Caenorhabditis elegans: one gene and its partners. The protein of the gene in region 2 interacts with the protein of the main gene of each other region in a pairwise test. Each region holds a gene or a part of one and is shown on either strand. Other genes may lie near its edges.

Region 1 (5,133 bases), on a different chromosome or scaffold from region 2:
AATCATGAAATGAGATGCGATCAAATGTTATCCATGTTAAAAGCCTTGAAATCGCCGTTGCGAATGCGGTTGAGACGAGTTGGGTTAATTGCAAAACGGCATCTTTTATCGATTTTCTTACTGATGACATCCCTGAAATGTTTAGTTACATAGCATATTTAATAATGATCGCACTAACTAACCTCAATGCTGGTGACAATTGATCAACCATTACAGAAACGGCATCGAATGGTTGCATAAGCATGTCCAGACTAAGCCATCCACTCAAGGCACACTTGCTGTTGAGTCGCTTGGTGACACATGGGAGAGTACATTGCAGAGAGTTACAAAGTTCTCCAAGATGATCAGCAACAATAAATACATTACCTCCAACTGTAGCAGCGAATTTAATGTTAGAATCTTGAGCGAAAGCAGTTAGGTTTGAACGAGCATAGCATTCTTTGTCGCAGCCTGAAAACGATTTTTTGATGGTGGGCAATTTTTCAGAAAAAAAATTACCTGACATGATATCATCAACGACAGGGTTGAGACACGACTCCATTCGCTCAAACAGAACGTGCTTTGTGGCACACATATATTCAACACTGCTGCTGGCTTTTGCGAAGAGCTTGTTGTGATCACAGTACTGTTCTTTCTTCAGACAAGTGATAGCCTGTGCATGATGACCACAGACTTTGCGAGCTTGATGTACAACATTCTTCATGTTCCACAGAGACGTCGTAGAATTGATGAACGGGTCGATGCACTTTCGCATGCAATATGGAACTCCAAGAGCGCGGAAAATTGTGTCGACGTCGAGGGCTGAAGTGAAACTTTAATCTTAAGCACACAATAATCTAGTTTTTTACCTTGTTCTTCGTGTGGCACGACATCTTTGTCGTCGTGTACCGATTCGATGGCACCATTTACACACGAGAAGAACAGAAAGATGGCGGGAAGGAAGAAGGCGAGATGGAGATGGCGCATCTGGAATTATGTAGAAGTTTTTTTTCCGAAATGGGGGTTAGATATTAAGCAGTTTGAAAGTGGTCTAAAAGCTTTCGAAAACTTTTATAAGCTTTCAAGAAGGTCATATAAGGAAAAGAACAGCTAGGTAGAAATGAAGTGGGTAACTGATATAGCCGAAACTTTACATAATTTATAAAATGAAAATTTATCAAAACTGACAAATGAAAATAAAACAAAATCCGAATTCTTTATGCGACTTTTCTGATTTCAAAATTTAGCGCGTCAATAGAAAAGTTAGATCGGCGGGAAAAAACAATTTCCAAACTACGGTTTTGATGGAGGTCTCGAAGCGAATACCGTACCCGGCAAGATTTACGCAGGTGGTCCGAGCCATTCATTTTTTTCTTTTTCAAATGTGAATTGCTTTGTTGAGAACCTGCAGAAAATCTTCATGTTTGGACGAAGTATTGACTTTTAGAATGTTTTTGTTCAGTATTTTAACCCTCTTCCAATATTGCGCTGCCATAATTTCGATTCATGCGATTTTGGCCGATGTAAAACCTTCATCAAAATTTCAACAATTATTATTGTAATCTTTAAAACTTCTCAATTCCTTTTTTTAATATTTATTTGTTTTCTCATATTTTAATTCAAGTTGTGCTCGATTTTCTTTGACTAACAGAAATTCCCGCTTTTCGGCACACATTTCCCGCAAACATCACATTCTACGCCATTTTTTTTGGCGCGTATCCGGCCTGTAGAGAATTCAAAATTGAATCGTCTCCCCTTCATTTGTTTCTTCATGTTTCAAGCTTTTTTCCCCAATTTTTATGTATCTGTTTCAGATAGTGAAAGATGGCGGCAATTCACATCAATCACGATGTCTTCAATAAGTATCATACTAACGGGAAACTTCGACTTACAACAGGCTATGTTCAGGTAAAGAAATCAATGTAGAAAACCAGGAAATTTAATTTTGATGAATTTTCAGGAGGCTATCGAAAACAATGGATATCCTGGACATGATGGAATCGTTCAAGTTTTGGTACTTTTGACTAATTCAAAAGTTTCGCAATAATTCGATAATTTTCAGAAAGGCAAAGTAGAGCAAGGAGAGCAACTTGGTCACGCATTCACTTTCAGAATTCGTATCTCAGACGGTGTTTTCCAATACAGTAAGTGAGTTTGTTATACTCTGATATTTATTTATGCTTTGAAGATGCGCTCATGTCCGCTGATATCGATGACCAAATCAAACGTGAAGTTGAGCATCTTGTTGAGGGAACAATTATCGCTCTTACTAAATTTGAAATCTACGACCAAGGGTGAGATTATAACATTATTGAGTCCTTCAATGTATTTTTCAGAGAAGGTGCTAAGAATTGCTTCCTGATCAAAGGATACAAAATTCTTTCTCGCTATCATCAGGTTTTGACCTCTCCAGAAGTCAAGCCAAGATCTCATTCTGGCAAACCTGATGAGCACAAAGGCTATAGACCAAATATTATCATCGAAGATGTTTGGCCTGAAGCTGAAGGAATGGCTGCTGATTACCAGGAGAATATGGCAAATCCACCAGCAGCAAAAGCGCCGAAAAGAGAATTCGGAGAAGGTAAAATCTAAGAGTTGTAATGTGTGTAATTCGAGTTTTCAGAAGCCTCATACAATCGTGCCGCTGCTCCAGAGGCTACACGCGCTCGAGCTGTTCCACCACCAGCACGCCGTACCGCGTCGAACACAGAAAGAGGCGTGATGCCTATTGCAATGGTTACACCGTACGTATCGAATTTCAAAATTCACGGAATGGTATCACGCAAGGAGGAAATTCGTACTTTCCCAGCGAAAAACACGAAAGTGTTCAACTTTGAAATAACCGATTCAAACGGAGATACAATCAGATGTACCGCATTCAACGAGGTTGCTGAGTCCTTGTACACCACAATCACCGAGAATCTTGTTAGTATTATTTTAATCGGATTATGCATAATAATTAATTTAATATTTTCAGTCTTATTATTTGTCTGGTGGATCAGTCAAACAAGCAAATAAGAAGTTCAACAATACTGGACACGACTACGAGATCACACTTCGCAGCGATTCTATCGTTAGTAAATTTAAAGCGATTCATCATAGCTAAAATATTAAATTTTCAGATTGAAGCTGGAGGTGAATTGCTTGCTGCTCCAAAGCTCATACTCAAACGAGTGAAGCTAGGTGAAATCGCTGGATATGCTGGACAACTGATTGACGTTCTCGTCGTGGTTGAAAAGATGGATCCAGAGGCTACCGAATTCACTTCAAAGGCTGGAAAATCTCTGATCAAGCGAGAAATGGAGTTGATTGACGAGTCTGGAGCACTTGTTCGATTGACACTTTGGGGAGACGAAGCAACAAAAGCACTTGTTGATGACTATGTTCAAAAAGTAATCGCATTCAAAGGTGTTATTCCAAGAGAGTTTAATGGAGGATTCTCTTTGGGAACTGGGTCAGCAACTCGTATTATTTCGGTGCCAGAAATCGCTGGAGTGTCTGAACTCTATGATTGGTACGCAAACGTGAAACCAACCACTGAAGTTAAGATGATGAGCCAAGCTGCTGGAGGATCCAATGAAGCTCCACGTACTATTGCAGGACTCCAAGAAATGCAATTTGGAAAGGATTCCGACAAGGGAGATTACGCAACTGTCAAAGCAATGATTACCAGAGTAAATCCTACGAATGCTCTTTATAGAGGATGCGCTTCAGAGGGTTGCCAAAAGAAACTTGTGGGAGAAAATGGTGACTACAGATGCGAAAAGTGCAATAAGAACATGAACAAGTTCAAGTGGCTGTACATGATGCAGTTTGAACTTTCGGACGAAACCGGACAGGTCTATGTCACAGCTTTCGGAGATAGTGCTGCGAAGATTGTTGGAAAATCAGCTGCGGAGCTTGGAGAATTGCACGATGAAAGCCCAGATGAGTACAACGCTATTTTCGAACGCCTTCAGTTTGTTCCAAAGATGTGGAGACTTCGTTGCAAGATGGATTCGTACAATGTAGCTTTATTTCTTGAAGATCCGTTATGATTGTTTTCTTTATAGGAAGAAGTTCGTCAGAAGATGACTGTCTATGGTGTGGATGATGTCAATCAGGACAAGTACATCGAAAATCTGAAGCAAATGATCGAGCAGATGCAACAAATGAGTGACTACTAAATGTTCTGTTTTTTATTACATCGTGCCGATCTCGACTGTTTCATTTAAATCTAAAAAAACCTAAATATTATTAAAACCTTTTTTGAGCCTAAAGTTATCACATGTCTCACATCCACAATCGCTGATTTTGTACAATGTTTTTCATCTCATTTACTAGCGAATAAACTATACGATGTGAGCCTATCTTTGAGTGCCAGGTGACCTCGAGATGTGTTCTGAAGTGACAGCATTGGGTCGTTGCAGCGTCCTTGAGAGCGGGTGACTGCCCGACAACAAATGGCCTTGGGTTGCCACATTTATCCTACGTCTCTCTGCCCACGACCACATTTTCCATTGCTAACCCGCAGGTTCGTGGGCAGCCAGCGAGCTCTTTGAGCTCTCTTCGTCTATTTCTCTCTAACGCTGTCTTTTTTTTTGTCTTATTTTCCATGAAAGACATTGGCGGATTAGTGGAAAAGACTAGTGACTTTCATTTACAGAAACGTCTTTTATCACCTGTTTTGATTTTCCAAAAAAATAAATTCCGTAATGATTTTATTATGTTTCCAAACAGTTGCAATTTGAACACTCCTTTCAAATTGTTCGTCCAAACTAAGCCGTGCTGAAAGAAAATTTCCGTCTTATATTTTGAGTGTAGCTTTTCTGTTGCAGTTGTTAAGATTTGTCGATGCAATTTAGGGTTATGCAGCTGACCTTATGGAGTGTCTGGGAGAGCACACACAAATGCGTTCCCAACAGAAGGTGTTCTCCGTGTCTATTCCCAATAAAGGTCATCTCCATATGCTCATCCCGTTTCTTTTCACCTAATACGTTTATTCGCAACCTTTTCTAGTTATCTTCAAAAAAAAAAGGTTCACGAATTGTTTTCCTCAATTTAGAGTTTAGTGGTGTCACAGTATCCCATCTCGGTTTTTTATTTGAAAATTGTGGGAATTTAATTCGAATTTGCTACCCAGGAAAAATGTCTGGAAATTCCCGGATTAAGCTG
Region 2 (3,726 bases):
CTACAACATCCTTATGCACAAATTCGACAGATCCCACAGTAATCGAATCAATTTCGACGATTTTATCCAACTTTGCGTCGTTCTTCAGACCCTCACTGCTGCCTTCAGGTTAGAAATCAGGGCTAAAATTGATTTAGAAATTTAGAGAAAAGCTCTTTTAAAAAATTCAAAATTTTTCAACAAAATTAAATATTACTTTAAAAATATTTTTAGATGGAACTAACTATTTTCTATGTTTCTATAGTAATTTTTGACCAAAAAATTTGGAGTATCATACTTTACAATCTGATTACTTAATTTTCAGAGACGTCGACACGGACCGCGATGGAGTCATCACCGTCGGCTACGAGCAGTTCCTGACAATGGTCTTTTCATTGAAAATGTGATTTTAAGAGTATTTAGAGAACCAACCACAATCCATTTTCGACCTAACACCTAGCACTTCTACTAGCTTCCATTCGAAAAAAAGTTAAATTCAATTTCGTTTTGTTTTCAGGTAGCTCGAAGTGTGTTCAATCGTCTGGGTTAATAATGTGATTTGCCGTTCCTCATGCTCTCTTTCCTCCTCGGATTCTTCGCATCATTAGCGTCTAATTAATTATGTTCAAATTTACTAATAAACGCTTTTAAAGTATGAATCATTCATAGTTTCGAGTATCAAAAGTGAATTTCCCAGTGGGATGAAAGAAGGATAATGAAAATAATGTTACAATCAGCAGTTAAATAGCGGAAACAGTTTCCTCGTCGACAGTGGTGTAGACCAATCCGTTCTCGACCATCTCACCGACGCACTTACGAACAATAGAAATGTTCGTTTCTTGAATTTGCTCAGCTATCCACGAAACATGTCGACCTTCGTCACGAGAACCCTCTGGCACAGCCATCAAGACGGCGGTAATGCGCTCTCTGAGCACATCTCCTTGGTTCGCTCCCGTCATCACTTTTTGCGGTTGAGCATACAATCTCTCCTTGGTGTCCGATCCTTGCGAGCTTTGATGCGATGTTTGTGACATTCTGCTCTTCGGTGGTGCCAGCATTCCTTGGAAGCCATCCGAGTCGACCGACTTCAGTTTCTCGCTCACGTTCTTTTGGAAGAACAGACGTGCAGCTTCTGCCTCGAGCTCGAAGATCGTGAAATCCTTGTCGTCTTCAACTGGAGTGATGTTGAACAGCATAATGGCTGAAATTATTTGAATTAAGATATATAATTGAAGGAAATATAAACTTACTATTGTTTCCATCGAATCCCTTGAGCTTTCCGATGGCTCGAACACGAGTTCCCTCGACAATTGAAGAATGATCGAATGTCGAACCCTCATTGTCATACTTGAGCGTACGATATTCCATCTCCGTGTTGTTTGGATCACAGAGGTCGTACGTGTACGTTGTCCCATCCTGACTGATATCCTTCACAATACCGACGGTCAACACCGTTGCGAATCGGAAAGTCCCGACGACATACTTGTCATCCTGCGCAGAAAAGTGCTCGATCAGATTGGAAATCGTGACCGGCACTGGGAGCCTCTCGCCGAGAGTTGTAGCCTTCGAGTCCTGTAAAAAATATTTATTTGAAAGTATGATTTATCTCTTATTCTTACAGGCTTTCTGTCGGTCATAAACGACGACTCTCCAGCGGCCCATCCGTTTCCTGCGTTCTCGTGCTCGACAGTCTCGTTCCACATGGTTAGTAGTTTCTGGAAAGATGAAAATAGATTAGAAATGCGAGAAAAATGAAGGAAAGAAAGGGAAGGTGAATAATTAGCGTTTATCAACAGATTCCAGAGAGACAAGATGTGTTACATATTTTAGAAACACTGAAACATAAATTTTAACTTTTTAACAGAAAAATTTAGTAAAAAACTGATATGATGTCGAAAATGGAGCTAAAATTATGCAATACTTAGTTTGAACGGCCAATTTCGCGCGTTTCTATAGAGCGCGCTTACTTCACTAGGTTTCAAAACAAAATATTCCGCGAACACAGGGAAAACCATTAAAAAGAAAAATAAATCATAAAGAATTATTTACTCAGGAATTCAGTGTACATGTATTTTTGGATAATGTGAAAAATCTGAAAGTGAAGGCCAGAAAATTTATATGAATCTAACACTAAAGCACTGGCAAGATGAAAATATAAGCGCAGGAAGTCTTAATATCACAAAAAGACAAGCAACGATAAAGTGAATGAACTAAATTTTATGAAAAAAGAAGAAAAATGAGAGTGACAGCTCACTTTTATAGTCCTTGCGTAGGAGAATCACGTGTATTCAGCTCGACCCACGGCCCGGCGGGGGGTACATGGACGAGGATTCTCTACCGTATTCCAATTTGGCTGACTGCGTGCTCAACGTTGAATACTCAGTGTAAACTTTCGTACACCGTTGCGTACTGCACAGCGCGCATTTTAATTGACGACATTTCGCGAAAATTAACAGAAGATTTTTTTCGGAATTATAGAGCTAAAATTGAAAAAACTATCAGATTTTCATCGAATTTGTGAAGAATCGTAAGTATGAAGATTTGTTCTTCACGATATTCAAGGAAAATCGATATTTGGTTTTTCACAGACAAATTCTATCGCATTTCACTCGACGAGACCCGAAGAACTCGGGGGATGTCCAACTGGGGGGATTCCCAACTCGGGGGATTGGCCACGCCCACAGAACCGTGCCTTACAATACGCCCATTTCTGCAACCTCCGCACGGTTTTGAATGATGATTTTCTTCATTGTTTTTTGGGGGAGAAAAATCAATTTCGACTCTAAAAACTTCAATTTGAATTGTTTTTCTTCGTTTTTTCAGCCATTTTCGCAAAAAAAAGTATTTTTCAACCGTGACTTGTTAATTCGCCCTCCTTAATTCGTGTATTCCTTTTGTTAATCTCTTTCCCTCTCATATTTTATTAATTTTTTTAATTTCTAGACTTCGTCGAATCGAGGGACCATCAAAATTGCACGGATGAAACAAGGATGTGCTTCTCCAGTCCACCTACGTGAGTATTATATTCTCAAATTGTAGAAAGTAGGAAAAAAAATTGATTTAAGAACAAAAATTGAAATAGTTTAACAAAAAATTAATGAAATATCTTCGGATCGAACATAGATGGACTTATACAGGCATTGAAATCGTTGAAACAGCTATAATTTGCTGTCACTGCTCTTTTGAAGTCGGAATTTCTGTATAGTGGCGGGCGATCAGTTCTTCTTCGCAATAACCATGTTCTTTTCGATTGTACGTCTCTGTGAACGTTAAAACTCCAAACCGTAGACTTCTCAATTGAATTGTGTAGAATTTTGTAATTGGTATGGTGGAAAAGACGCTAGAAATTTGATTTTTGTTCACTTTTCCGTATCCATTAAGAGAAAAGTGTACCTGTAGCATTCATTTAAGCCAAAGGCCTCTAAAAACTAAGCGAATCTGATAATAGACGAGATAAAATCTTTTTTCATTTATATATCAGCGATGTCATTATGAAAGTTCTAATTTAAATTTTTCAGATCCGCCCGAGCTGCTCATCCTCCAAATTCTTCCGTTTTCATGACAAATTATTGTTTTTTTTGTTGAAATTATGTAATTCATTAAATGTAATATTATCCTTATCTGTAAATAATTATCATGATCAATAAAATATCGCTCTTAATGTTCAATGAATAGCTTGCAAACCAATTTGTACAATTATTTCATTGAACAATTTCCGCCGGCTCTGAAAAACATTTCATGGCAATT
Region 3 (4,733 bases), on a different chromosome or scaffold from region 2:
GAAGACACGATTCCACTTCAGAAAGTGACTTCTACTATCCTTGAGAAGATTATCACCTGGTGCGAGCATCACGCCGACGATGAGCCAAAGAAAGTCGACGAAAACAAAAAGACGGTAGACATTAGTGAATGGGACGCCGAATTCATGAAAGTCGATCAGGGAACCTTGTTCGAAATTATCTTGGTAAATATTAAAGTTTTATAAGCTATTCTCCAGAATTGAACATTAAACCGATTTCTTTTTCAGGCCGCCAACTACCTCGACATCCGTGGGCTTTTGGACGTGACCACCCAGAATGTGGCTAACATGATGAAGGGTAAAACTCCAAGCCAAATCCGAACCCTCTTCAACATTGAGAACGATTTTTCCGAGGAGGAACGGGAGGCCATGAAGAAGGAAAACGCTTGGTGCGAGGATTAAGCTCCCTGGTAAACATAATTAACTTGAACTTTATCTGATTCGGTTTACATACCTCTTTTATGTCACTTAAAACAAAATCAAAAATTATTTTAAACAAAAAAAAACTTTGTCTGTCAAGTACGCTTTACATTGCTTCCAACAAAAAATATAATTTAAATAAATGTATAACGTCTGTATATTGTGTAGTTTGTTCATTGTGTATGAATTTACCATTTGCAAAAAAAAAAAACTTTGGCGGCCAAATTTGCAGCCAACTACTGTTTTGACTTGTAAAAAAACTGTTCAAAATCGTTGTAACGTTTTTGGAAGTATTTCAACTGATCGAGAAGAAAATTGTTTAAAAAATTTGGTTGCCTTGGGGGAATCTGGAGAAAAAATAGGAAAGAAATTTGGGTTTGAACATTGTTTTTGAGGAAACAGTTGCAAATTAAATGAAAATCTCTAAGCCAGGACCTATGCCAAGGCCTAAGCCTTAGCCTAAGCTTAACCGTAAGCCTAAGTCTAAGCTTAAGCTGAGCACTACTAGTGAGCAAAATGGGGGTAATGTGTGCATATAACAGCATCAGAAAAATAGTCAAAATTTAAAGAAAACTAATCACAATCTCACAAGCTTTAAGATCCAGGAGAGATTCAAGCTGTCTAGTAGAATAGGATTTAAGCTCGCCGAGGAGAAATAGAAGCCTTCCAGATTTGGACTTTGAAGACTCCAGGTGCAACTGATTGAGAAGGCCGATACAGATATCAAGTTGGCGATCGAATTTGAGATCAGTGCCATCTTTGGCTGAAATTTTAGTTTCTGAAAGCTCAGCAGCTTTTCTAGTTAAACTTACTTTCCGTGAAAATAATAATTCCCTTCAAGAGGAAATAATCCTGCGCCGAAAGTTCGAGGGATTTGAATTTCTCAGCCAGTTGTGCAAATTTTTCATCGATGAAGATTTTTTCGGAGTTTTCGAACAACGCGAGGCACAAAAGATGTGGCCACTGGGTCAGTATGATCTGGCTCTGGAAATTTTTTTAATGACTTTTATGTTTGGCATTTAGACCTTTTCAACATCGGAAAGCACTGCGAAGAGCGAAAACTGTTGCACCCACTGGAGTGCGTTTTTCAGATGAACTAGCACGGAGCTTGTGTCCTGAAATTAAATTTGTGGTGTCTCAGGTTGATAGTTTGTCTCCTGATTAACTAACAATTTCATGTTGAGCATGTTCGTGTTGGAATCTGAGACGATCAGAGTGAGTAGGCAGAAGTCCCTTGGAATACTCTCGGAATGAGGGCAACTCGACATACTCTACAGTGTAGCTATGGGAAGTTCTCTCGGGTTGCACAGCTGGAAAATAATTATTTAGAGACGAAACTGTGTCGCCTTCGCCGGCTTCAGGAGGCTTCTGCCGGCCTCAGGCCTTTGTTAATATGGTGCGGCGCGAAACTCAAAAAAATGTCGGCCACTGAAAAATACCTACCGCACTATATGGTGCAAACACAAAGTTAATGATCTGAAGCCCAAACTCAGAGAAGCAGCTTACCATTCTTATTCATCCCCTTCTTGAAGCACTTTTTAATTCGACAGGACTTGCACCTGTTCCGGTTCGCTTTATCAATCACACAGTTTCCGTCTCCATTCCAACATCCATGTACCAACTTGTTTCTAACGGTTCTTCTGAAGAACCCACTGCATCCGAAACAGGTTGGCACACCTAAAATTCATTGTTATCTAGTTTCTAAATCTTCTTTCCAACCGTAATGATTTCCGTTAGAAGTGTCCCCACAAACTGCACAAAGCGTGATTGGAAGAGTTATGTTGTTTTGCGCGGGGTCATTTACAATCTGCGGTTGGATGACCAGAGGCACTGAAAGTTATAGATATGCGTGAAAGATTGTAAATCTTCTGTCATAAAACTTTTGAACTAAGTAAATTGAGAAGCTGATAAGTGCGGTCAAGTTTTGTAAGCTTCTGGTTTTTCTACTTACCGCCCGCAAACCTCTGTCAGGTTATAACGTAACTGGGATCTAAATAATGGAAACATAGAATACATTTTTGAGATGTCAACAAGTATAGTACAAAAATTGCTATCAATCTGTTCGAAAATGTCAAAAAAATTCCAAAATCTAGAAAACAACGTTGCAAGTTTGTTTTCGACTTCTAAAAATTTTCTGATATATTTTACCAAATGCTTTCATTTATACATTTCGGTGAGTTGAGTAATTATCTAGTTAAAGCATGAAAAAATTTTTCGATCCCATAAATTGGGGCATACCTGTTGAAGTTTCCAAAATGCCACCGATTGACTTCGCATTTTGGCTGCTCATCTTTTTTTGTTAAATATTCTCTCGTTGAGTAAGTTGAGAATATCCTGTCAGTATCTACAATAATAGCATAAAAATAATTTGGTTACTGCTCAACTTCTAATCACGACTCCTCCCACTTGACCTGTTGGAGGCAGCCGGCTTAGTACAAGAAGGATAAAGTGACAGTTAGAGAAACGAGAGAAAAGGTGCCAAAAGTTGAGCAGCAATCTCTCTAAAATTTTTTGCAGATATACCATACTTCAGATCACTTGTGTATTTAAAGTTGAAATCAATCAGAAGCAAACATTCACTAGGGAATGATCGAATTGAAATAAAATTTGGACTATAAATTGTTGAGTCATAGAAATGCGGAAATTGTCCGCTGGAAATATATGATATCACATTTTCTGAAAGCGGAAATTTTCGTAATATATGTCATTTTTCATTTAAATACTTTTTCATTTTAAACGAAAAATGTCTTTAAGCTAACCTAGCGCAAAAGATGGTGGAAAAAAAACTGAGATCTTCATTGAAAATTTCAGAATATTCAGATTTCGATTCAGTTGTATATTTAATTAAATTCTGAAATTTGACATACATTTTCCAATTACGTACTTTTCAGATTTTGGTCATTTTCAGTTAAATGCAATAAAGATATAAAACTGTAAAACCTATGTATAGCATCTAGTATACTCGGAAACAAGTATTTTCTCACATTCAGTTTCTAGTCAAAAATATCAAAACGCTCTCAATGTGAAGCACAAAAGCCCAGCAAAAAATTGACTGAACCGCACCAAACACATCTAAAAAATGCCTACTGCTTCCTAGCCTACACATGTGCTCACCATTTCCCGCAGCTATTCCTTTTTATCGAATCGTACGTCGTTATCCGTCACTGTGTTTACACAAGTCTAATTTTTCAGAAGAGCATATTAATCATCATTCCATTTTTTATGGCTCCCTACTGAATGGGGTGATCAAAAACTGAAATTATGCAAACTGCAAAATTCTACTTTTGACCTGAAATTCGAGCCGTCGGTCTGTCTCAAATTTATTCAATACAAAAACTTTTAAAAAAAATCATATTTTTTAAAATTTAATTTCAGTCACTGTCCACAATCTTCTTTTTTGTCAATCGAAAGTGTTCTGTGCTAAAGTCCAAGATAAAATCTGTGCCATTCTCGTTATAATCAATTTTGGCCCGTTCTTCTCCTTCGTAGTCCAGAATGAAAACTCTCACTATTTCGATAATGTTGGTTTCGGGGAACTTGAAGCACCCGTTCTCGAAGTCCACTGATTTTGTGAGCAACTGAAAATAATACTTGGATTTTTTTTCGATTTTTTATTTAAACTTACATCTCTCAGTTTTACTGCATCCTCTTTTGAAAAGCAAGGTACAATTACATAGAACTCTCTGAAATGGAGCATATCCTCGACAGAAACCTTATAACTCTTCCAGAACGAATCAAAAACTTGTGCTCTTTTCCATTGCTCAAGTTTAGCGATTTTCTCGAGATCTGTGGGCTCATTGGAAAGCAGCTCAATTTTTTCAAGATATCCAGCTTTTAGGAAAGGGATCACTAATAGAAGCTGCTCCTCGGAGAAATCTGTCCCATGAAACTTTTTAACGTGTAGGCAAGACATGGAGGATTTCAAAACATCAAGAAGAGTTGAAAAATAAGTCCCAGTTTGCTCAACATCAACAGAAAGCTGAATCGGAAATTTTTCCAAGCGAAGTGCCGGATTCTTCATGATAATTCCAAAGTCATTGAAAGCCACATCAACAGATTTTGCACCAATAATTGTTTTTGTCTTCTGTCCATACTTCAGGACACAATCACGTCCCACGCTGCTATATTTGATTTCCATGTTATCCACGAGCAATGATGTGTAATTCTTTTTCACAAAAAATCCTAGAGTTTTGAAGCCAGGGTTGTGAGTGTCAATAACTTCTCTCATTTTTCGAGACACTTTTCGCACAATTAATCTGAAAATAGAAGATTTTGAAATGATTTTCAAGAAAGCT
Region 4 (4,882 bases), on a different chromosome or scaffold from region 2:
ATCGGCAAACCGGCAATTTTTTTCCGAAAGGCAACTGCTGCCCACCCCCGTTTCTGTAACACTGTGATATATCAAAAATTTATTTTTTTAAAAGTAAATTTTAAAAAAAATTACTCTCCCTCAGATCCCAATGATCGTCGTCGGAGGATGGATCAATTGGACATTCTCCGGATTCGTGACCACCCGAGTTCCATTCCCACTGACTCTCAAATTCAAAGCGATGCTTCAAAGAGGAGTTGATCTCGTTTCCCTTGATTCTGCCTGGGTCTCCTCAGCTTCCTGGTACTTCCTTTGTATGTTCGGCCTTCGATCAATCTACACACTTGTTCTCGGAAGTGAAAATGCTGCTGATCAGAGTAAAGCGATGGAAGATCAAATGGCAATGACTGGCTCTGCAGTGAATCCACAAGCCGATCCACGTGCCGCATTCAAAGGAGAATGGGAGGCTCTTCAAATGATCCAACATCAATTTGCTCTCTAAACGTGTACTTTCCAAACATTTGTGTTTCACTGATTTATTTATTTGACATTCGATTTGTTTTTTTTTCCAATATAATATAAAAGTTATAAATAAGTAATACATTTAATAGCTTTGAGTTTTAGATTTTTAAATTGTTAGTTAAATATAATTGTATAATCAATCATCATCCTCAGATTCGTTATCAGAATCACTTGCATATCCACCAGCCATCAAGTCAATGTGTTGTCTGTAAAAATATTGAATTTTAAATTTAAAAAGATTCAGCGAAATTAGTACCCTCTCAAGAATTTGGTCAACTTTTTGCAATCATAATCCTGTCCCAGTATTGCGGAGATTTTCACGAAATTTCCAATGAGATTTCCGTTCGAATAGAATTGAAGGCACGGCACACCGTTCGTTCTCTGAAAAATAAAAAAATATTGGCCAGACTCGAAAATTTGTGCTAAAAATAAAAATACGGTACCAGGTCTCGACGCGACAAAATTTTTTTTGTCGTCTGCGCCTTTAAAGATTGTGGTAACTTCAAATGTTCGTTTCTCCGAAATTTTTATAGATTTTGCATATATCTATAGGTTTTTTTTCACGAGTTTTCAAAATTGAATGTGGTTTTATTGTTATATTTGAATTTTTCAGAAACAATATACGCACGTGGTGCCAGGCTGTCCCATTACGGTTTGATCTACAGAAAATGCGGGAATTTTTTGCCCAAAAAAATGTGACGGCAGCACGTTCTTAACCATGCGAAATCAGTTGAGAACTCTGCGTCTTTTCTCCCGCATTTTTGTAGATCTACGTAGATCAAGCCGAAATGAGAAACTCTCACATCACGTGTATAGTGCTTTCGAAAAAAAATTTAAAACTTTTGAAAATTCGGAAGTTTGAAACTACAGTACTCTTCAAAGGCGCAAGACCTTTTCGCATTTAACTAAAAATTTGTCGTGTCGGGACCCTGAAACGTATTACATACAAATGCTCTGCTCATTTCAAGAAGAGTGCTTGTCGCTCGAACGAATTTGGTTTTCGGACAATCGGCGGCGAGAATCTTAACGATTCGTGTCAAATATTCACATTCATCGGATTCAGGCTCATATATTAGAACACAGAGAAGATATGATGAACTTCCATCAACGGCATCCGAATATTGTTTCTGAAATTTCTTGGAGCATTTTTGAAGGATGTTTGAAATCGATAAAATGAAGAAGAAAAGCTAATTTTTTTTGGAAAATTGAATAATTTTAGTTTTCATTATTTATCATTTTCCGTTAAAAAATCGTTTTTTATTTATTTTTAGTCGAAATTTAAAAAAAAATCAAAATTTCTATTATTTTGCAATTTTTTTTTCTCGAAAAACGGAAACCTGATTTTTTTTAAATTTTCGAGAAAAAATCGAAAAAGTTTCGATATATCCTTTTTTGATTTTTTTAAGAAAAGAAAGCAACTTTTTTAATTCGAAAAATGCCGATATTTGAATTTTTAACGACAACGGGGCGATGTCGAGAAATTAGAAAAAATTATTATTTTATTAAAAATAAAATTGATTTTTTAAAAATAAAATCAAAATATTAATTTCTCGACGTCATTGTGGAAAAAAATTGAAAAATAACGAAATTTTTCGAATTAAAAAAAAATAAATTTCCGACTAAAAATTGTAAAAATAATTTTAAAAGTTTTTTTCTAAAAAATCAAAAAAGGAAATATCGAAACTTTTAGAAATTTTGATTTTTTGAAATTTCGACAAGTTTTTAAATGTTTCTAGAAAAAGATTGAGAGACTTTTGAATTTTCTAGAAAAAAAATCGAAAATCTTTGGTATTTTTTTTTTCGAAATTAATTTTTTACTCGGAAAGTGAAAAAAAAATTTTTTTTCCAGTTTTCTGGTAATTTTTGCCAATTTTTCTTATTCATTTTGGAGAAATTTTCTTTTTTTCCCATATTTTCTAAAAAGTTTTCAAAAGTTTTCACAATAAAAAAAAAAAAGTATTTTTTGATTGTTCCTATACCTTATCAGTCATTTCAATAACCCGATTTGCTGCAATTTTTCTCATTTCTCTAAGTCTCTTCGCTTTTAATCCCTCCAAAGTCATCTCAAAATCCTCATCTTCATCATCTTCTCGTTGTGCTTTTTCTCGTTCTTCTTTCGATCCAATCATCATTCCTTTCTTCGCTTGCTCAATTAATTTCTGATTTTTTGATTCGACAGCTCTGAAAATTTACAAAATTTTTTTTTTAATTTTTAAGAATTTTTTAAATAGTCTCACAATCTAGTCTGTTCTCTGAACGCTTTGAACTCATTGAGCACTCCTTTTGCTCCAGTATTCGAAGATGGTCCCATTCTCTTCATTACATTCGCCTGATGCTCATCCTCATCGTTTACAACTTTGAAATCGTCCTCTTCACCTTCTGAGCTGCTACAGTAACCCGCAGGCTTTCCGTCCAGAATTCGTGATTCCAAATTCATTAGAGTTTTCTGAAAAAATATTTTTTTAAATTTATATTTCTGATCTTTTTCGAAAAAAAAAAAAGAAATTTTGATTTAATTTTTCTTCAGAAAAATCATGAGAAATTTGAAACTACTGGTGAGAAAATTTCTTTAAAAAAGTTTCTTCTCAAGCATTTTATTAATTAAAATTTTTTGTAAAATTTCCTGATAGTTTCGTAAGGAACTTTTTTTAAAATTAGAGAAATATCACACAAATTAAAGGTAATAAATTTGGCAGAATTGCCAAAATCTGAAAAAAATATATACCAAAAAAAAGTTTTTTTTTAAATTTTTCAAATTAATCAAAATTTAAAAAACAATTAAAAATCGGTCGTTTTATATAATTTTTAAATTCCTATTTTTACCTTTTTCAACGTTTTTCAGACTTTTCTATAAATTAATTGTTTTTTCTTTGGAAAATATATGAGAAATTTGATACTTTTTTCAAATATTTTTGCAAATTTTTAAAATATTTATCAAAAAAATTCAAAAATTACTGGGAATTTTCCAATTTCTCATTAAAATGCAATTTGTTTTTGGATCAGAATATCAAATAATTCAAATAAGGTAATAAATTTGGCAAAATGACCAAAATCTGGAAAAAAATCCAATAAAAAAATAAAAAAAAAGATTTATTCTATCTAGAAGTGTCTAGTTAAATACAGAAAATGTACTGAAATTCCAGTAAAACCCGGAAAAAAGGGTGAAAGAAAACTCGATAATTTATGGCATTTTCTAATTGCATTTCTTCAATTTCGTGAGAAATTTCTCAAAAGTTGTGAACTTTTCTCGAATCTTTCCAGATAGCTTTCCAGTGTCTTGTTCTTGTCTATCAATTTGTTTCCATTCATCCCATGATATAAATGGAACTTTTCGATCTTCAAGTAATTCTTCAACTCCATTAGATGTGCTATCTTTAAATTGTGCAAAGTCTGCGGCAATTTGATCGGCAACAAAAATTGATTGTTGTTGAGTGTCTACAATTATTCCATGTGGTCCATGAGCACACCATCCAGTTGCATACACTTGTGATGAACACGCAGCAACCATATTTACACGGCAATGATCTTTCATGTCTATCATTTTCTGAAATAAAAAAAATATATTTGCAGAGATTTTATGATTTTTTTTTGAATCCGGGAATTATGGGTCATAATAGTTTTCCAGATAATTTAAACCAATTTAAATTTCCGACAAACCGGCAAATCGACGAAGATTAACAATTCCGGCAAATCGGCACATTGCCGGAATTGAAAAATTCCAGGAAACCGGCAATTTGCCAAAAATTTTCTGGCAAATCAGCAAATCTCCGGAATTTAAAATTTTCGGAAATCGGCAAACCGGCAAATTGCCGGAAATTTTTATTTTCGACAAATCGCCGAAAATGAAAATTTCCGGCAAAGTGGCAATTTGCCGAAAATAAAAATTTCCGGCAAATCGGAAAACCGGCAAACGGTCTTAATTGAACAGTTCCGGCAAATCGGAAATATGCCGAAAATGAAAATTTCCGGCAAATCGGTGAATTGCCGGAATCGGAAAATTCGGGCAAATCGGCAAATTAGCGAAAATGACCGATTCCGGCAAACCGGCGAATTGCCGGAATTGGAAAATTCTGACAAACCGGCGAATTAGAGAAAATTAACAATTCCGGCAAATCGGAACATTGCCGGAATTGTCAAATTCCGGCAAACCGGCAAATTGCAAATTTTCGGCAAATCGGCAAACCGGCAAATAGCAGGAATTGAAAATTTCCAGCAAATCAGTAATCTGCCGGAATTAAAAATTTCCGGCAAATCGGCAAAAGGTAATTTGACGAAATTGAAAATTTCCGGCAAATCGGCAATTTGCCGAAGATTAATATTTCTGGCAAATTGAAAAATCGGCAAATCGTCAAATTGCCGGAATTGAAAATTTCCGGCAAAT

Evidence for each region.
Region 1: the proteins of rpa-2 (region 2) and rpa-1 interact in a two-hybrid assay, tested with the Caenorhabditis elegans proteins (3 studies listed by BioGRID).
Region 3: the proteins of rpa-2 (region 2) and nhr-111 interact in a two-hybrid assay, tested with the Caenorhabditis elegans proteins (2 studies listed by BioGRID).
Region 4: the proteins of rpa-2 (region 2) and mau-8 interact in a two-hybrid assay, tested with the Caenorhabditis elegans proteins (2 studies listed by BioGRID).

The regions. Positions count from the first base shown.
Region 1 is NC_003280.10:7,662,789-7,667,921, forward strand, and holds rpa-1 (putative replication factor A 73 kDa subunit), read left to right. Parts: upstream 1-1,793; 5' UTR 1,794-1,803; coding exon 1,804-1,887; intron 1,888-1,939; coding exon 1,940-1,993; intron 1,994-2,041; coding exon 2,042-2,123; intron 2,124-2,167; coding exon 2,168-2,273; intron 2,274-2,315; coding exon 2,316-2,560; intron 2,561-2,602; coding exon 2,603-2,904; intron 2,905-2,956; coding exon 2,957-3,052; intron 3,053-3,101; coding exon 3,102-3,986; intron 3,987-4,031; coding exon 4,032-4,145; 3' UTR 4,146-4,322; downstream 4,323-5,133. Other genes in the region: F18A1.7 (Chondroitin proteoglycan 4 domain-containing protein), read right to left, coding at 21-132, 183-450, 499-801, 849-966. UniProt on the Caenorhabditis elegans protein: As part of the heterotrimeric replication protein A complex (RPA/RP-A), binds and stabilizes single-stranded DNA intermediates, that form during DNA replication or upon DNA stress.
Region 2 is NC_003279.8:4,768,260-4,771,985, reverse strand, and holds rpa-2 (Replication protein A C-terminal domain-containing protein), read right to left. Parts: upstream 1,695-3,726; 5' UTR 1,683-1,694; coding exon 1,599-1,682; intron 1,552-1,598; coding exon 1,230-1,551; intron 1,181-1,229; coding exon 720-1,180; 3' UTR 628-719; downstream 1-627. Other genes in the region: M04F3.4 (EF-hand domain-containing protein), read left to right, coding at 1-108, 305-382, 497-500.
Region 3 is NC_003283.11:16,122,054-16,126,786, forward strand, and holds nhr-111 (Nuclear hormone receptor family member nhr-111), read right to left. Parts: upstream 2,787-4,733; 5' UTR 2,729-2,786; coding exon 2,677-2,728; intron 2,269-2,676; coding exon 2,158-2,268; intron 2,116-2,157; coding exon 1,945-2,115; intron 1,749-1,944; coding exon 1,609-1,748; intron 1,554-1,608; coding exon 1,464-1,553; intron 1,423-1,463; coding exon 1,251-1,422; intron 1,202-1,250; coding exon 1,002-1,201; 3' UTR 842-1,001; downstream 1-841. Other genes in the region: skr-3 (Skp1-related protein), read left to right, coding at 1-183, 247-420; fbxa-143 (F-box domain-containing protein), read right to left, coding at 3,810-4,016, 4,064-4,694. UniProt on the Caenorhabditis elegans protein: Orphan nuclear receptor.
Region 4 is NC_003282.8:13,376,081-13,380,962, reverse strand, and holds mau-8 (Phosducin domain-containing protein), read right to left. Parts: upstream 2,948-4,882; 5' UTR 2,939-2,947; coding exon 2,739-2,938; intron 2,683-2,738; coding exon 2,481-2,682; intron 1,629-2,480; coding exon 1,449-1,628; intron 883-1,448; coding exon 758-882; intron 708-757; coding exon 638-707; 3' UTR 501-637; downstream 1-500. Other genes in the region: emc-3 (ER membrane protein complex subunit 3), read left to right, coding at 125-481; Y62E10A.6 (NADPH:adrenodoxin oxidoreductase, mitochondrial), read right to left, coding at 3,695-4,045.